Tribolium castaneum: one gene and its partner. The protein of the gene in region 2 binds, or shares a complex with, the protein of the main gene of each other region. Links are inferred from orthologs where the notes say so. Each region holds a gene or a part of one and is shown on either strand. Other genes may lie near its edges.

Region 1 (3,785 bases), on a different chromosome or scaffold from region 2:
TTTTAGTTTCTCAAATTTATTTAAGCAATACGTGCGGATTATCTCATTTTTTTCCGTCCAAAGTAAGCAATAAATATCAAATCTAGAATCATACTCATTTTGTTGTAACGAGAATCTTTACCTTTTTTCGTGCAATAGTGTTACTATCAGACATGTGCAATTTGTAGAGAATGTTTTATTGAAAATTGTTTTCGGACATGAAATTGTTTTGCTGAGAGTACTTTAAAGATTTTTTAACTATTATAAATATTTACATTATGTTGTACTTAGATTAGAGATTAATTTCGTTTTCTCAGAGTTTTAACGAATTGTATATTAAAACAGTAATCTATTAACAAATTCGCATTGTTAATCGAACTACTCTTTTGATATACACTGTTCATACTCAAGTGCTAAAATTATTTTAACAAAGTAATAATGGCATTAATTAATGAGGTAGCTTATCAAATACCTATTAATTTTATATGATATGTTAAACTAGATGTAATTTATGTGTCATATTAATAATATTTAATGTTATTAATTCTTGTTGTACTTCATAAGCCAATTTTCAGCCAAATTATTGGCTACTGAGATTATGGTAATGTATTATTTGTGCACCAGTTTAATAAATATATTAACTAAACGTTTTCGACGCTTTTCATTCGTCCAAATTTGTTGCAAACTCATTCACTAACATTTAATCGTGTTGATCTCAGACCAAAACAGTTTTATTTGAAAGAAATAGAAACTGTATTATAAAAATTTATTAAATAGAGCAAAATAAATCAACTGTGATCCACCTGATGTGTTTTTACTTTCAACGCCAACTCCCTCCTTAACTTATCCTTATTCTTAACGTACCACTTAAGCCAGTTTGCAACTACTGGATTACTCTTATCTCCATGAGCTTCCAGTTGTTGGTAATAAGCAGAACGAATTATCTTCAAACACATGCTGCTGTGGTAAGGCAGACACGTTTTAGGGTCAACGTACTTTGCAAGGTGACTGAAAACACAAAATAAATAAAAATAAAAAAATGCGTCGCTTTTTAGAAAATATTTTGCTCCCTAATTCAAAAGTGCAAACTATGTCTTTTCCTCCCTAGACAGGAAAGACATACTGTGCACATTGCACCTCCAAATTAGGCGAAAAAAATATATACAGGGTGAGTCACTGTAATATGCCTGCAGATTAAATTGTAGAAAAATAAAAAAATAACCCCTGACATTTAAAAAAATTATGTTTAGACTGCACTGTAAAAATGGAAGACTGTATTATCGGACAAAGAATTTTAGAATACGATACCACTGACGGTGTATGTCATATCAATGACTCACCCTGTACACGTGACGGGAGCAAGAATTGCCCCTGCACATATAAATAGCTATTTTTACCCTGTGACAATGCATCTGAGACGTCGTGGAAGCGGACGCGCTGTCTTTTTTTCAAAAATGCTGTTAAATGTGGCATCGTTAGGGTCATTAAGCACTGAGATAAACGTGCGTTCGCACACGTTTTCTGATTCGTTCTTGATGTCTTTATCTTGATTGATTTCCTCAATGATTGGCATTCGTGTTGATCTGTATTGGATAACAGGGCCATTGATGACTTTTTTCACAGTTCGTTTCGTTTTCTTCTCACTTTCCATCTTTTGGTACTTTTCAAGTGACTTCAAGTTCTCCAATTCGGTCGTTTTTGCTTCTTCGAGTAACTCTTCCTGTGTTGGCACCCATTCTTCTTCTTTCGGTTTCTTGATTTTTTTCTTTTGTTCGAGATTTCGTACTTTGATGCGTTGTGCTGTTGCGGCTGATTTTGCAGCTGTGGACTTCCTGATTGACTTTCTTTCTGTAACACGTTTGTTGCCAAATATTATTAACTAACTCGTTATTTTCAAACCGTATTCTGTGGATTCATGTTGGGTTGTTCTGACTTTAGGGACAGGTTTTGTGGGTTTTGGTTTTGCTTTTTGTTTACTGGGTGCAGGCACTGGTTCCTACAATGTTTCAGATAAAAATTAACAAAAAATCGAACGTCATAATCGTGCATTACCTTGTAAGCCTTTGTAACTAATCTTCGTTTCTTCTTCTGACCCTCCTCCTCATTGTCTGAAATAGGTTCGTCATTTTCGTCAATACTAAAGTCGGAATCTACCACATCTTCGCCTTCTTCCTCCTCCCTGCAATTAAACCATAACAAAACGGAACAAAATGAATCAGAAGTGAGTACTCGTATTCCCTATCGGATTCGGTTTCTTCAAAACCACCATAATTGGTTTTGTAGAATTCGTCTTGACATTCTTCTTCTTCATCTAACAATTTTGCCATACGGTTACCGGCATTTGCCCGTTTTTCTCTTTTTGCCATTGTAACGAATTTCTCGCCTGGGACAGGGACAACAAACCAATGATAAGTTTTATTACAAAGTAAATGGTTTTTATTTAATATTTTTCCTAATTAAATAAAAAACACAAGCACTAAACACCATCTGTCAAACTGCGAAATTTTAAGGTTAGTATTTTGCTAGATACCATAGAATTATCAGTAAGTACCAATAGCTAAGTTTCATATGTCACTGCAACAAGCGTTCGAGTCCTTTCGTATTTTGGTAAAAAAAGATTTTGGCACTTTACAATGAATGAATGGAATAAATACGTGCGTGTGGGAATATTTTTAGAATTGATCTCATTTTTTCCTCCGCAATAACCCCACCAAAAGGGTGAAAATGAGTTATTTCTCGTCTTTTTGTTGGTGGTCCTGATAAATCGAGGGGAATTACAGAATTATCAATAAGTCGTCTTCAGCTGCTGCTGACGTTGCTGTTGCAAAGGTAGGTAATTGTTACAATAGCCAGCCACATTTCCGTTACAAAAAGAGAAAACAAAGATGGGAGTTCAAGGCATAGTTCTTATGACTGCGATGGTTTTTGCAATTGGGTTGGCCATATATGAAGTCTACACTGCTAGAAACAACACAGCTTCTTGTCACCAGAGCGACAATAAGTATACATATGTGTACACACCGAGGGTACAGGAAAGAACACCAGATACAGCAGATACAGGAAAGAACAAGTGAGTAACTTATTATGTAACTGCAACGTACAAAAACACCTTTTTACAGAAAAAAAAGAAGAAACTCGGTTCCGGAATGTGTGATATGTTGTGAACCATTGCCTGAAGGTGATGGTGGCATTATTTTACCATGCAAACATAAATTTCATGATCAGTGTATCACAAGATGGTTCAAAGAAAACAGAAGTTGTCCAGTTTGTCGCAAATGTGCATAAACTAAGATACAGTAATTTTTCTCAGCTAACAAATCTCAACATATCCTAGGTTTATTAGCATTAGGAACAGCATTACAGCTACACTCATGCTTTTTTCCTATTTTTTTAAATAACCTTTGATTAATTAAAACAACTGAAATCATGACAATTATTATGAGCAATATGTACAATTTTGTGCCTTTCAGGATGTTAACCGAATTTTAACATTTATTGTTTCCTAAACTGTATGTAGAATTGTAGAATGACTAGAATATTAATTTATTTGTCTCATTGTTTCTTGTAGAATATAGTTTTTCATTTTTTCTTGTAATTTGAATGAAAGGAAAATGTACAGGTCAAAAATAAAGTTTTTTGAACCATTTTTTGTTGTGTATTACTAATCCCAGCCAATAAGTTTTGTAAAAATAAAGTGAAAAATTACTGTAACCGCGAATATTCCGATTTCAGAGAAAGAAAGTTGTTAGGTTATGTAATATTGTTGACAGTTATTTCTGACAATAACAAAACCCTGTTTATCAGCT
Region 2 (3,288 bases):
TTTGTACGAAGTGACGAAGAAGAAATCGGAAGCGCGCAAGCAACTCTCACTCATTTCCGCGCTCGTTAAGTTGCGGACGGTTAGAGACGCCATGGCCACGCAAAGGGGCGACAAGTTGTCGCTGGAGGACAGGCAGGCCTTCGGGCACGTCACGGGTAAAATTGGCCAAACAAGACAAACACTTCTACATAACTAAACTTTCAGAGAAACTAATTCGCATGTGGGAGAACTCGTACCAGAGCTACTGCAAAGAGGAGCAATGCTTGAAAGTGATGCTGGAACACAACGCCAGTAAGGACTCCAAAGCGGCGATCGCCGCCAAACAAACCCGCATTGTCGACGACTGGGAGTCCCTCCTATTCGGCCCCCGAGACCCCCCCGTCAACAACCCCACCTTCTGGGCTCTAACGAGCGCCGACCGCGACTTGGAGACATTTATCGCCATAAGGAAAAGTTGGGACACGTTTCTAAGTCCGGGGAACGCCTCAGGCTCGGCTATTCCACTCGGGTGGGTCGCCCCGCCCGAGGCCCCCAGCGAGAGTTGGGCCCCGTTTTTAAAAACCGACTAATGCTTTTCTATTATTTTTAATAAAATAATCACAATTAAAGCGCCTTGCGGTGGTATTCAGGTGTGGCGTTCCCGTAGTCTTGCAGGCTGAACAATTGGGCGCTGTTTTTGACCAGATATTTCAAGAAATCTTGGATGTTCTGGAGCAGGAGTTGGATGCTGCGTTCGTCGAGGGGCGTGTACGCCAACATGGCCCCCAGCTTGACGAACAGACGGAGCAAGTGAGTGGCACCGTACACCTCAGACATGGGCTTATCGGGGTAGGTTTGCAAGATATCGGCGTACTGGGGCCGCTCGAACTTGTACAAAAGTTGCGTCCCCAACATCACGTTAAAATACTCCTTGATGCCTTTGACGATTTCAATCGTAGCCGACTCTTTGCTGGAATTATTCGACTTGATTGACTTCTTGTAAGCGAGATAGTTGTCCAGAATTTGCTCGACTGTGACTTTTGCCGGCAAATTTGCGAGTTTTCGTTGTCTGGTAATTACGTCCCAGTCGTCCACCAACCAAGGTTTCAACTCGTCAGGGATTTTAACCTTGATTTCAACCTTATTCAAAAATTGCTCCTCGGACTCGACCGAGGGGTCCAACCGCCCCCTTTTCTTCCGGGGCACGTCTGAACCCGAGTCTTGCCCACTCGACGGTGTGCTTATTTTGCTCTTCCCCCCTTTGATCAGTTCATTATTTGGGGTACTAGATCTCGAGTCAATGTCTTTCGTGGCGTCGGTTTTACTCTTCTTGGCCTTTTTCGTCTTGCTGGGTTGAGTCGAGTGGGCTTTTTGCACCTCCTTTTGTCTCGCAACGTTGGCCTCGTTGTATTTGAGGACACGGCTTTCGGGCACCCATTCGTCCCAACTGCAAACACACGACTGTCAATTACAAGGCCCCCCGAAAACACTTACACACTTTTTGTTCCAACCAGCGTAATGGATAAAGTACTTCACTTGCTTGTCCTTGGTTATGGTCGACTTCAGACATTTGGCTTCGTAAATCAACGGGCCGTGGAAGCACAAAACCTTCTCGCCTGGAAAAGGGGTGTTTGGGCGGCTTAAGGGGGCGACCACGTGTCTTACCTTCGGAAAATTTAAACTTGGGGGGCATTTTCGGCTTCAAACAATTTTTTTTGTTTTGACAATTGACAGTTGGTTGTGGCTACCGGCACATTTGTGCCGGTTATAACGCGTCCCGGTGCCTTTATTTGTTATTTATTGTATTTTGTGAAACATTTATTTGCTTGATGATTGATTTGGGGCGAAATTGTGCCAGGGTTAGTTAATTATGATTGATTACAAGCCAGAAGTGGCTACGGTCACGCCATTTTGTCAACATAACCTAGCTTTAGACGGCGTTTGAATTTGGCTTGGAATGGGTGAGTTTGTTTAAATGTGCCCCCTGATCGTGTTATCGTGGGTTTAGAGTTGCAGAAATCGAAGAAAAGTAAGGTTAAGCGGAGGCCCCCTTTGCCGGAGGACGACACCTCCGGTGATTTGCTCATAGTGGACGAGTCTGGTGCTAAAACCAAGTCGCCGGTGAACAAGCCCCCGTCCGCATCGTCCTCTGGTAATAAAAAGCGCAAAAAACGCGACAGTGCCTCAAGTGACGAGGAACGGTGGCTCACTGCCATCGAGTCCGGGAAGCTTGAGGATGTTGACGACGAATTGAAGAAAATCAAGCCGAAGGACCCGGCCTTGATGACGGCGCGACAGCGCGCCATGTACGAGCGTGAGGTGGACGGGAGCCCCTCTGTGACCACCCCCACGTTAATGTCGCTCCCGACTGGATATAAAGTAATTCAGTTTGTTTCAATTCAAATAGTTTAGACTTGTTGGTTTAGGAGAAGGTCATGACGGCCGAAGCGATTCAAAAAGCGGCGATCAAGTCGCAGAAACGCAAACAACTGGCGGACGAAAAGCGCGAAAAGGATAAGAAGAAGACGATGGAAAGGCTGCTCAAAAAGCAGGAGTCGAAGGCGGCCAAAGCGGCGAAAAACAAAATCACCAAAGCGCAAACCCCCATGATTTTGTACCGTCAGAATGTTGGGTTAACGACAGTGTCGTTCCCGCAAGGGATGGACTGGCCCTTGCCGGGGGCGGGGGGCAAAGAGCCCCCGAAAGCCACACTGTGTAGCATGGGCTGTGGCAATGTGAAAAAATACTCCTGTTCGCGGACAAATGCACCGCTGTGCAGTCTAACGTGTTATAAAAGGAATATCGCTAGTCGGATTTTGTGAGGGGAAGGGAAAAAAGGCCAGTTTTGAGTCAGAGATACGGTAATTTATTTGTTTTACATTTGTTGGGTTGTGACTAGGCCACTTGGATGGCGCGTATTAATTTTCGAATCAAAGTGGCCCGAGCCAATCACAGGCCACTTTGATCAGTTATTGTTACCGGAAGGAAACATTGTATGTGACTCTGTCTATCTGACCTATTTTGGCACGTGTGGGGCGCCCCTAGCGGGAAACTTCCCCGAAATTTGTGCATCTTAAACAAATAAACTTTAAGGTACTGTTCGTTTGTACAGGGTGCTGCTTTTTGGGTGTCCGAAATTAAGAGGTTAGAGAAAAATTAGAGACACATTCTCGGGTCAAAACCGCATCTCCCGATCGTCTTTTGTTTTCGACTTATAAACAAAAATTGACATTTTAGCGAAATCTTAAAAAAATCATATCTTTCTTATTATAAAAGATACACGTTTGAAACAAAGACATTATACAAGCA

Evidence for each region.
Region 1: MRG15 (region 2) and YL-1 share a complex: the UniProt entries of both Drosophila melanogaster proteins name them as parts of the tip60 chromatin-remodeling complex. The link is inferred for Tribolium castaneum from reciprocal best matches to the Drosophila melanogaster genes MRG15 and YL-1.

The regions. Positions count from the first base shown.
Region 1 is NC_087397.1:8,922,348-8,926,132, reverse strand, and holds YL-1 (vacuolar protein sorting-associated protein 72 homolog), read right to left. Parts: upstream 2,492-3,785; 5' UTR 2,346-2,491; coding exon 2,209-2,345; intron 2,159-2,208; coding exon 2,032-2,158; intron 1,976-2,031; coding exon 1,879-1,975; intron 1,828-1,878; coding exon 1,377-1,827; intron 988-1,376; coding exon 768-987; 3' UTR 732-767; downstream 1-731. UniProt on the Drosophila melanogaster protein: Part of the Tip60 chromatin-remodeling complex which is involved in DNA repair. Upon induction of DNA double-strand breaks, this complex acetylates phosphorylated H2AV in nucleosomes and exchanges it with unmodified H2AV.
Region 2 is NC_087400.1:991,240-994,527, reverse strand, and holds MRG15 (mortality factor 4-like protein 1), read right to left. Parts: upstream 1,784-3,288; 5' UTR 1,673-1,783; coding exon 1,645-1,672; intron 1,596-1,644; coding exon 1,478-1,595; intron 1,427-1,477; coding exon 604-1,426; 3' UTR 570-603; downstream 1-569. Other genes in the region: uncharacterized protein LOC657630, read left to right, coding at 1-155, 205-569; INO80 complex subunit B, read left to right, coding at 1,937-1,940, 1,988-2,358, 2,406-2,801. UniProt on the Drosophila melanogaster protein: Part of the Tip60 chromatin-remodeling complex which is involved in DNA repair. Upon induction of DNA double-strand breaks, this complex acetylates phosphorylated H2AV in nucleosomes and exchanges it with unmodified H2AV.